Rhinolophus ferrumequinum: one gene and its partners. The protein of the gene in region 1 binds, or shares a complex with, the protein of each later gene. Links are inferred from orthologs where the notes say so. Each region holds a gene or a part of one and is shown in the gene's direction. Other genes may lie near its edges. The genes, in order: cytochrome c oxidase assembly factor 1 homolog, ECSIT and TMEM186.

Evidence for each region.
Region 2: cytochrome c oxidase assembly factor 1 homolog (region 1) and ECSIT share a complex: the UniProt entries of both Homo sapiens proteins name them as parts of the mitochondrial complex. The link is inferred for Rhinolophus ferrumequinum from reciprocal best matches to the Homo sapiens genes COA1 and ECSIT.
Region 3: cytochrome c oxidase assembly factor 1 homolog (region 1) and TMEM186 share a complex: the UniProt entries of both Homo sapiens proteins name them as parts of the mitochondrial complex. The link is inferred for Rhinolophus ferrumequinum from reciprocal best matches to the Homo sapiens genes COA1 and TMEM186.

What each region holds. Positions count from the first base shown.
Region 1 is NC_046303.1:57,539,963-57,543,711, reverse strand, and holds the start of cytochrome c oxidase assembly factor 1 homolog, read left to right. Parts: upstream 1-733; 5' UTR 734-812; exon of another isoform or gene 813-835; intron 836-916; exon of another isoform or gene 917-1,091; intron 1,092-3,749. UniProt on the Homo sapiens protein: Component of the MITRAC (mitochondrial translation regulation assembly intermediate of cytochrome c oxidase complex) complex, that regulates cytochrome c oxidase assembly.
Region 2 is NC_046301.1:39,075,719-39,079,467, forward strand, and holds the start of ECSIT (evolutionarily conserved signaling intermediate in Toll pathway, mitochondrial), read left to right. Parts: upstream 1-1,353; 5' UTR 1,354-1,359; coding exon 1,360-1,447; exon of another isoform or gene 1,448-1,455; intron 1,456-3,393; exon of another isoform or gene 3,394-3,511; intron 3,512-3,749.
Region 3 is NW_022680357.1:9,031,223-9,034,971, reverse strand, and holds the start of TMEM186 (transmembrane protein 186), read left to right. Parts: upstream 1-811; coding exon 812-1,075; intron 1,076-2,124; coding exon 2,125-2,760; 3' UTR 2,761-3,749. Other genes in the region: PMM2 (phosphomannomutase 2), read right to left, coding at 748-813. UniProt on the Homo sapiens protein: As part of the MCIA complex, required for efficient assembly of the mitochondrial complex I.

The sequences.
Region 1 (3,749 bases):
TATATAAATGTTGAATAACTGGTGTACATCTGAAACTAATATTGTATGTTAGCTATATTTTAATAAAAATCTTTTTAAAAATGTAAATGATAATAGTGATGATGATGACCATGGAATGATCAAGATGAAAATAATAACAGCTAATGTTTACTGGGCACTTATGCAGTGCCAGGCACTATTCTAAGTACTTTACATACTCAAACCTATTAAGTAAATACTGTTATTACCCATTTTACTACTAAACTCCAAGCGAACAGAGATCATTAATTTTTTTCTTACCCCTGCATTCCCTGGAGCACCATAGGCAGTTAATACGTAAACATTTGGTAAATAAAATAAAATTTAGTATTGCTAAATTTTCAGCCGAAAGGAACAAGATGGACTTCAGTGCCATAGTGGATATCAGAGGGTTCGTGATTTCACTTCCTCCGGGATTTGCCAACGGCGAGGTCCCTGGGAGGGGCAATATAAGCCAGTGGTTTAAACGTCCTAAGCGGGCCCTGCTGCACCAAACCCATGATGTGGGCTACCAGGTTCCAGAAAACAAACAACGGAGATTTGACCAGAGGAATCCCTTCCGGCGCGCGTCCCAGCGTCTAGGAAGTTGAAGCCCGGTTGCCAAGGCGATCTCAACCTGGGATCAGCCTCCCAGTCACGGCGAATCCACTTTGGGCAAGCCGTGTCCGCGCCCTACGCTCTAGCCTCCGGAGGAGGAGACGCCGGAAGTCTCCACTGCTCTTCCGGGGCGGGCCCGCCCGCGGCCTTTTCCCGCCCACTCCCCACTTCCAGCAGGGATCTTCGCGCGTGCTGTGGTCTGTACGGCTCTCGCTGACGGGTTAGATTTCCCTGGGAGGAAGAGTCTGGGGATCTCCTACGCTCAGCAAGTTTGTTCAAGCGTTCCGGGTGGCTGCGTTTGCGTGAGAGTGTGCTGCTGCCAGGGAAGGCCCTCAAGGGTCGCCTCGGGGACGTTCGCGCCGCCACCGGGTGTGGCGCACCCTCCCTCGGCGGTGTGGTCGGTGCCTAGGCGGCCGCGGTGGGCTCCGCGCCTTGGGATTCTACTAGATGCTTTTACAACCCGGAGTTCTGAGGTTGTGTGTAGCTAACCTTGGCTTGTCCTGCAGTCCCTGCTAAGCGGTCCCAAGAGCACATTTGTGAAGCCGTTCTTCTGGGGGTCCTCTAGAAGAGGTGGAATTGGGCACTTTGTTGTTTGTCCTGTTACGTCACTCGGAGAACGACGCTGCCCAGATGATTGTAGAAGTTTCTGGTGCAGTGGTCATAATAATTTTGTCCAGAGCACACTTGAGCTCCTTATAGGGATGACTGTAGAAGTGATTTTCAGCGGCGCAGACGGTACCTGTGTGTGAGCGCGCGCGCCTTGTTATTTTAAAAATTTAAACATTTTAAAAATCTAAGAAGGTTCTTAAATTTTGATTCTTGCTACGCCTTATATCTTCTGCTAACTCTTACCCATTCTCACCTGAGCTGTATTGCTCTACTTCAAGGTATTCTATTGGTCTACTTCACCTTCAGATAGAAGTAGTAACTCTACTTAAACTTTTTTAAAAAAAATTAAAGGTTATGGGGGTGACAATTATTAGTAGTTACATAGATATCAGGTGTACAATTCTGTAACACATTATTTGTATCTCACATTGTGTGTTCACTGCCCAGAGTCAGTTCTCTTTCCATCACCATACATTAGACCCCTTTACATTCTTCTGGAGCCCTGCTGCCCGCTTACCCCTTACCCCCTGGTAACCCCAAAACTATTGTCTATGTCTATGAATTTTTGTTGTTTCAGTTGTCTGTCTTGTTCTTTTCTTGTTTTCGATTTATATACGACATACCAGTGAAATCATGTGGTTCTCTACTATTTCTGTCTGACTTATTTCACTTAGCATTATAATATCAAGATCCATCCATGTTGTCCCAAATGGTCCTATTTCATCTTTTCTTACCACCGAATAGTATTCCATTGTGTATATATACCACAACTTCTTTATCCATTCACCTATCGAAGGATATTTTGGTTGTTTCCATGTCTTGGCCACCTTACGTAAAGCTGCAATGAACATTGGAGCACACGTGTCTTTATGGATAAATGTTTTCAGATTTTTTGGGTAGATACCCAGGAGAGGGATTGCTGGGTCATATGGTAATTCTATTCTTAACTTTTTGAGGAACCTCCACACTGCCTTCCATAGCTGCTGCACCAGTCTGCATTCCCACCAACAGTGTATGAGGGTTCCTTTTTCTCCACAGCCTCTCCAACACTTTTTACTATTTGTCTTGTTAATGATAGCTATTTTGACTGGGGTGAGGTGATATCTCATTGTGGTTTTTATTTGCATTTCTCTGATGATTAGTGATGTTGAGCATTTTTTGATATGTCTATTTGCCATTTGTATGTCCTCTTTGGAGAAATGTCTCTTCAGGTCCTCTGCCCATTTTTCAATTGGGATGTTTGTTTTTTTGTTGTTGAGTTTCATGAGTTCCTTTTATAATTTTGCACATTTGCCCCTTATCGGAGGCACTGTTTGCAAAAACTTCTCCCATTCAGTTTGTTGCCTCTTTATTTTCTCAATGGTTTCTTTTGCTGTGCAGAAACTTTTAAGTTTGATATACACGTTCATTTATTTTAGTTTTTACTTCCTTTGCCTTTGGAGTCAAATTCATAAAATGCTCTTTGAACCCAAGGTCCATAAGTTTAGTACCTATGTTTTCTTCTATGCAGTTTGTTGTATCAGTTCTTATGCTTAAGTCTTTGATCCATTTTGAATTAATTTTGGTACATGGTGACAGATAGTAGTCCAGTCTCATTCTTTTGCACGTGGCTATCCAATTCTGCCAGCAGCATTTATTGAACAGGCTGTCTTTTCTCCATTGTATGTTTTTTGCTGCTTTGTCAAAAATTATCTGTCAGTATTTGTGGGGGTTTATTTCTGGGTTCTCAGTTCTATTCCATTGGTCTATGTGTCTGTTCTTCTGCCAATATCATGCTGTTTTGATTATTGTTGCCCTGTAGTACAAGCAAAAGTCAGGGAGTATGATACCTCCAGCATTGTTTTTTTTTTCTCTTAGGATTGCTTTAGCTATTTGGGGTCTTTTGTGGTTCCAAACAAATCTGATGATTTTTTGTTCTATTTCTTAAAAAATGCGATTGGGATTTTGACCGGGATTGCATTAAATCTGTATATTGCTTTGGGTAATATGGCCATTTTAACTATGTTGATTCTTCCAATTCATGAGCGCGGATGTTTTTCCATTTCTTTGTGTCTTCTTCAATTTCTTTTAAATATGTCTTATAGTGTTCAATATATAGATCTTTCACATCCTTGGTTAAGTTTATTCCTAGGTATTTTATTCTTTTTGCTGCAATTGCAAAAGGAATTGCTTTTTTTTTATTTCTTTTTTTGAGATTTTATTGTTAGTATATAGAAATGCAATGGACTTTTGTACGTTGATTTTGTAGCCAGCAACTTTACTGTATTCATTTGTTTCTAATAGTTTTTTGGTGGAGTCTTTAGGGTTTTTATATATATAGCATCATGTCATCTGCAAAGAGTGACAGTTTAACTTCTTTCTTCCCAATTCGGATGCCTTTTATTTCTTTCTCTTGCCTGATTGCTCTGGCGAGGACTTCCCACACTATGTTGAAAAGCAGAGGTGATAGGGGACAGCCCGATCGTGTTCCTGAACATAAAGTAATGGCTTCAGATTTTCACTGTTAATTATATTAGCTGAGGGTT
Region 2 (3,749 bases), on another chromosome or scaffold:
AAGAGCAGGGGTGGGAGTGGTGTGGAGAACATCCTCCCTGGCCCAGCTGACTCATGGAGTGAGGTTGATTTTGATTTTCTCCTTGGAGAGCAGTTTGTACCGCCTGAGGGCGCTCATGGACAGGAAGAGGAGGGTGGACGGGCACCAGGGCAGGAGGTCAGGGCGGGGAGTGAAGGAGGAAAAGGGAGTTAGACCCAGGCCCTCAGGTCCCGCCCCGCACTTCCTGGAGGCATTTGCGTGACTCCAAGGTGCTTCTGAGCCCACGTGAGGCTGTGGAACACGCGCTGGCTGAGCGCTGTCATGCAGGGTGTCATGCGGGGTCTCTGGTCCCACTCCCCGCATTAGAATGCAGGATATGGTGAGGCCAAAAAGGAACACCCACGGAGCCATTATTGGGGAGTCATACCACTATATTCTCCCCAACTGCTGGGACGGAGACACAGGAAGTAGGAGCCACACTATCCTCAAACTGCCGTCCACTTCTCTCTGCCAACCAACCCCACTTGCTAGCTGCAATCAGCCATGCTAACTGCAATCCACTCTTGCTAGCTCAGCCACCGTCCTTTTGCTAGCCCCCATTTTCTGCTAGCGTAGCCACAGCAGTTACATTAGTGGCCAATGGCTCACTGGTTACAGCTGATGGCCAACTAGCCACAGCTGATGGCCAACTAGCCACAGCTGATAGCCATCCAATCACAGTTGATGGCCAGTTACTACCAGAGTGAGCACCTTTCCACATGAAGGTGAGAGCCTGGAAACTGCACTCCTGAGTCTATCCCCACAGCACCCAGAAGCTCATTTGGCGCAAGACAAAGTCAGGAGGCTGAACCACGGAAGAGGGGGGGAACCATAGGGATGGGCAGGTGTATTGCGCTGCAGCCACATCCACGCTCCAGGTACCTCCTATGTCCGACTGCCCAGCTCCTGTAGTCAGCGGGGCGGATGCCAGATACACCATCTCTACTGTCGCCCTGCCCGGAGGTAAAGGGATTATCCGGTGATCATGGACATGCTGCACAGAGGGGAGAAGTATAAATACAGGGACCCACACACTACATTTTTAACACGTTTGGGGATACTTGCACCCTTAATATTTCATTCCCACATTTCACGTGGGTAAACGGACCGCCAACTGGATTCACGGCCGTCCCCAAGTCCAGCCTCCCAACCCGGAAACGATCCTCTCACTCCTTCCCCGGCCATATTCCTCAATTCGCTTGGTCAGGGATGTGGCTTGCCTTGTTAGGGGTGGGGCCTAGCTCGTTACTAGGCGGTACCAAGGTCGATCTGCCTTCCTATTGGTGGTCATCCCCTTTGGACGGGACTTCTTTACACCGGCGTTCTTGATTTGCTGTGGCCATGGTGGTCCATGACCTGGAAGCTCTCCGGGCAACATGGCGGCGCCCAGCGGCAAGAGGCAGCTGGCTGGGATTCCGCGGCCACCCGTGTGAGTAGGTAGGTCGCGCGTGGGGAAGCGAGCGCGAACTGCAGGACCCCGGGGAGGCCCATTCTGGACCGGCAGCGCGGAAGGGCGGGCCCAGAGGGACCCGGCTGCAGAACCAGGGCACCATGACCTTTTAGGGTGCGGGGCTGGGACGTGCGGGGAAAGGCCTCCCTCTGTGCACCCGCCTCTTCCTGTCCTTAATTGCCCATTTTGCGGATGAGATAGCTGAGGCTCAGCGTGGTTAAGGACCTCTCCCGAGGTCACGCCGCAGGTCGGCAGCTAGGCTGGTATTCAAACCCCCATTTGCCCGTTTCTCCCAAGAAGCCCAGAATCCTGGCAGACGGTCTCAAAGCTGCTGTAGGTACACCTGGCTATGGGATTCAGATTTATGGATTATAGACGCTTTGTAGAAGTTTAGCTCTTCTTCGCATTCCACCGATACTTGTTAGGTACCTATCATTTACCAGGCACTGTTCCGGGTGCTGGAGACACAGCAATGAGGAGGACAGACAAAATCCGTCATCTCCTGGGGGCGGGGGGAGGGGCCAGACATTGAACAAGTCAGAAAGAAAGAGAACAGGTGATTTCAGATGCTACTAGGAGCTAAAAATGCATTTATCAGAGTGATGGAGGCTTTAGATAGGGAGTGGGGCAGCAGTGGTTAGGGAAGCCTCTAATTTGAATATAAACCTGAATGACCAGAGACACCTGTGGACCGATCGGGGGAAGAAATTTCCAAACAGAAGGAAAAGCAAGTGCAAAGGCTCTGAGACTATAATAAACTTAGCTTGTTTAAGATAGAGGTAGCTGGAGCTGTCAGTGGTAAGAGTTGAGTTTGGAAGGGTATACACTGTCTGATTTTATCTTAAGTAAGATATATCATTAGTAATTTTAGGCAGAGAATGCTGAACATAGTTCACGTTTTAAAAAGCTTCCTTTGGCCCAGGTTGGGAGAACTGACTGGAGACAAGTAAGGAAAGAAGTGGGAGGATGGGAAAGAGGCCCCTGGGTGTTGGCCTGCAGATGGAGAGAAGTGGATGCATTTGGGATGGATTTGGAAGTAGTCATCAGGACTATATGGATTGAATAGGGGAATAAGGGACACAGTGGACTCATCAGTGAATCCTAGGTTTGTGGTAGAATGACTAGGAATGATGGTGTCATTGGCTAGGATGGGGAGGAACAAGTGTAAGCAGGGATACAAATTAAGAGCACATTAAGTTTGAGATGGCTGAGTATATACCGAAGTGCAATTAGGTATGGAGGACGGTGCTCACAGCTGGCGATAAACATTTCGATTCATCTGCACATAGATCATCGTTTCTCAGACTTTAACACACATAGAAGAAACTTGGACTCTAGTTAAAATGCAGATTCTGATTCAGTAGGTCTGGGTTAGGGCTGAGATTTTGCATTTCTAATAAACTCCCAGATGATGATGCCAATGTAGCTGGTTCCTGGAACACACTTTGAGTAGTGAATGTTTCAATTAAGGTCTTAATCTTAGCTGTATATGAGAGTCACTCGCGTGTGCTAAAATGCTGGTGCCTGGGCCCTGCCTCTAGATATTCTGATTTAATATATCGGGAGTATGGCCTGGACATGGCAATTTTTTAAAGTTCCCTAGATGACTCTAACATGAACTGCCCACAGGAATACAAAGAACAGAGGAACAAGTTGAATGACACCTCAGAGTAGTAAACAGACAAATTCAGAATGTAGTACTCTTTGTAGCCTTCTTACTTAAAGTGTGGTCTTTAAGTAAGATCAGTAGCATTAGCATCACTCAGAAGTGTGTTAGATGTGTAAGAGTCTGGCTTCACACCAGAGCTGCTGAATCAGACTTAGCATTTTAACAAGATCCCGGGTGATTCGTCCACACATTCAAGTTTGCAAACATTGTAAACTTTAGAGAAGGAAGTGGATCTTGCTGATTAGCTGAGAAACAGACCTGGGTGCTAGGAAGAAAATCAAGATTGTCAAGAAGATGGTAGGAGGGCCTCACCCATGCCACATGCTACTGAGAACTCAAGCAAAATGAGGCCTGAGAAATAATCACTGGCTTTGGTAAGTTTAGAACACACAGGGACCTTTAATGGTGTTAGTGGAGTGTTTAGTGCAGCAGCCAAGTTGGAGTGAGTAGAACACAGTATGTAGACACCTCTCAGGAAAAGCTTTGCTGTAAAGGGAGCAGAGATGTGGAGCAGAGGCTGAAGGGAGACTTCAGGTCAAGATGAGAGATGCTAGAGAAAGTTTAAATAGTGATCAGAATAATCTAAACATTTCCCAATTCATTTGATGAGGC
Region 3 (3,749 bases), on another chromosome or scaffold:
CCACCTGAAAACCTATGTGATATTTTCATAACAGGCTACAAAGCACAGCCCATAGGTGACAGGACTGAGGAGGGCACATGGCTGTAAGCGGGCTGAGCTGGGGTTCAAACCCAGGGCTTGCAGTGACAGTCCAGAACTGCGTTTTCCAACCCAATACAAGTTTCTTGCTCTCAAGAAATTTTCGGCCCTGTCCCATCTCCAAGTACCCTGAGTGATGCGACAGGTAAAGAGTTAACGGGAACGAGAGTTAACAGGAGCTTGAGAGTTAACAGGAACGAGCTTAAAAACTAACTGCTTGGCTCTGAATCCCCCCCAACCCCCAGCTAGCTGTGGGAATAGAACGGTTCCCAGAAGAAACCAATTATAACGGCAACCCCTGCAAGCTGACAAGCACCCCACATCCCTGCATAGAAAAAAGTAAAACTCCAACATAGCTTCTCATCGGTGCAGCAGTCTACTCTAGACTGCCCCCCCGCCCCCCGCAACTCCTCTGTCGGTGCTTCTCTCCTTAAATAAACAGACACCGGCTGCCGCCGGCTACTCTTTCGGCAGCCGCGCGCGACCACGATACTGAGGTCTTCCGTCTCATCCCTCCAGGTCCCCCACTATAGACTTCAGCTCCGCCAGAAAAGGTAGGCGGTCCTTAGCCCCCCCCGCCCCACGCACACCCTGGGGGGTCGTTAGCCCCATTAGGGAGCAGCAGGAGGCTCCGCAGCCTTTGCCTCCAGCCTGCCGGGCGTCGCCTACCTGCCGCGGAGCCGTCAGGGTCCCGTCCACGTCGAAGAGGCAGAGCGCCGGGCCGGGCAGAGCCATGTCCCCAGATTCCACACCGCATCTACTAGGACTCGCTGGCTCCGGAACCTCGGCCCGGAACTTCCGGGTTCGGCCTCCGTGCGGCAAGGCACGCTGGGAGGAGGAGAATCCCCTCCCACAGTGCCTGGGACTAGCTATTCTCACTGGACCACAAATCCCAGAATACAATGCGTCCACTGAGTCCTGCTTCGGCCGAGCATGCGCTCTTAGCGATCCCGGGGGCAGGTGGGATTCGCTTACGACAGCTGGCAGCAGAACCATGGTAAGAAGGAGGGTGGTGGGAACTGAGGGAATTGACGCGCTTTTGGGGTCGGAGTCAGGCCGACGCCTGGGGTTGTGATTCGGGGAAAGCGCGCGGGAGAGGCCTCCGGGGTGGGTTACGATTTCTTATTCCCGGGCTTCCTGTGCACTCAGGTCACGTGGGTCAACAATAGCAATAACTAAAACTCACTGTGTAGCAAGTTTATCAAGTCCATCAAGTGCATTTGAGGCCTTTAAAACCATTATCTCATTCAGTATGTTCTGAATCCCCATTTCAAAGATGAAGAAACTGAGGCCCAGAGAGGTGGAGTAACTTGTCCACGCATCCACAGCTAGTGACTTTAGGTGTCAGGATTGGAACCCAGATCTGTTGATTGGAACCTAGATCTGATTCCACAACCCAAAGCATCTTTCATTGCACTACTCAAGGTGTAGAACTGGGCCCCTGCTAAAATCCTTGTGCTTCCATCCTTCCCTCCTCTTCCATTCCTTCCCCCTCTCCAAACAAGGCTAAGAAAACACCCAGATGACTCTTTAACCTGACAAGAAAGTCAAAAAGTTATTATACTATATAGCTCACGAATTTGTTGTCCACAGGACATTGACTGTTTAGTTTCCTGCTTGGGGAAGTGTTCACATAGCCTTATAGTTCCAGCGCCCAGCCCAGAGTAGGCTCTCCCTAGGTATTTGTTAAATGAATGAAGGCTGCACCTCCTTTCCTATACCTACTTGAACTGCCTGGAGGAAAGAGGGCCAGTGTGAGAGTCAGACTCTGCCCCACTCACTAGCTGTGTGTCTTTGGGTAAATTTCTTACTTCTCTGGGCTTAGTTTCCTCACTGGTAAAGTGGAAGTAGTGGTTCCTGTCTCACACAGCTTTTGTGAAGATCACGTGAGGTAAAGCATCTGGGTTTACCTTTCCTCTGGCTTTGGCAATAGTGGTGACCTTACAGGGTTGGTGGGAGCCTCCATGTAAGATCTTTGCCGATGTTGGTTGTGTCACGGGCACGGTTGAGTTCTTTGAGAGAAATGGTCTCCTGTCTCCCTTCCAGGCTGTCCTGCTCCGAGCTGTGCCGCGGTGGCCAGGGCCAACCGTGTGGGGAAGGCCACTCTACCATCTGTGGTACCGCAGTGGGCAGGATCCTAGGAGGTGCGTGGGGAGCAGGTCGGCCACCTCGAAGGAGAGACCACTGGGCACAGAGACAGAGAAATTCCACATGGTCTACCGTTTGGATGCCATCAGAGCCTTTGGGTACTTGTCTCAGCTGAAGGTGGCACAGACGGCCCTGACGGTGGTGGCCCTGCCACCTGGCTTCTACTGGTACTCCCAGGGCCTCATGACTCTCAACTCCCTGTGCCTTGTGGGTGGGATAGCTGGCTTCGCCCTGACCATGCTGTGTTGGATGAGCTATTTCTTCCGGAGGCTGGTGGGTATCCTGTACCTGAACGAGTCAGGAACCGTGCTGCGGGTGGCCCACCTGACCTTTTGGGGCTGGCGGCAGGACACTTACTGCCCAGTGGCTGACATCATCCCCCTGGCAGAAACCCAGGACCGGCCTCAGGAGCTATTCGTGCGGATCCAGCAGTACAGTGGGAAGCAAACCTTCTATCTTACCCTGCGCTATGGACGCATCGTGGACAGAGAGCGTTTCACGCAGGTGTTTGGGGTGCTGGACACGCGCAACTGAACATCTGGACGCTGGGCTTCCGGGTAGCACTGGGCTGCCTGGATCTCTGACAGAAGCCTGAGGGTGTGAGTGAGGCTAAAGAAGGAGATCTGGCAGTTGGAGACTTTGCCAGGGCCCCTGGGAACTTGTGCTTTGGGATGAGAACGTTCACCAGGTGGATGCTAGTCACCTGGTTTAGGAAAGAGGCCCGTGGTGCAAATTCTTACTGCGCCGTCGGTGACGTTGGTAGGTAATGGCCAGAAGTGGCTGTTTTGGAGGAAGCTATGCCAACTTCACTCAGTACAGTGCAGTGAAGTGGGAAGAGAGGTGTGGCCAGGGGAGCATAGGACTAGGAGTCAGAAGACTTGGGTTCTGTTCTGTCTGTTCTCAACTCCCTGTCCTGGGGCAGGTAAGTCAGTCTCTGAACCTTGGTTTTGCATTTTTTAAATGGAAACTCCTGCCTGTCTTGTGAGATGGGTGTGAGAATAAACAATAAATGTCAAGTGCTTTGCAAACTCAACAGGTGGGAGCAAATATTAAGCGTTAGTTAATTCAGAGGTGATGGTGCAATGGACCCAGCAGGAGACGGGACTTGAGATGAAGCCTAGCGCTGGGTCCTTTCATTCTGCCAGGACAGTAGCTGCACAATGACTGGGGCAGCAGTGTCATCCCAGAGAGCACAGCACTCCTGCCGGGACCATGATCACTACCCAGAGGTCTAGGGGCTCTCACGTCAGACGCCTCTGTGGACTTTGTGTTCCTGGGCCAATTTTTGCCTAAAGAATAAGTTCTCAAGCCCTGGCTCCATGTGCCGAATCACCTGGAGAGCTATTTACAAATAGGTCCCCCAGGTGATTTTCATGTGTAGCCTGGGTCGATAGTCGCTGCCCCGAAGTGTCACCACACTGGGGGATGAGTGCTGGCTTCTCACCAGCCTTGACATGAAAACCTTCACGTCGACGTGTGATCTGCTCACGCAGTACCAGCAGAGGGCACAAAGAGTAAATGCA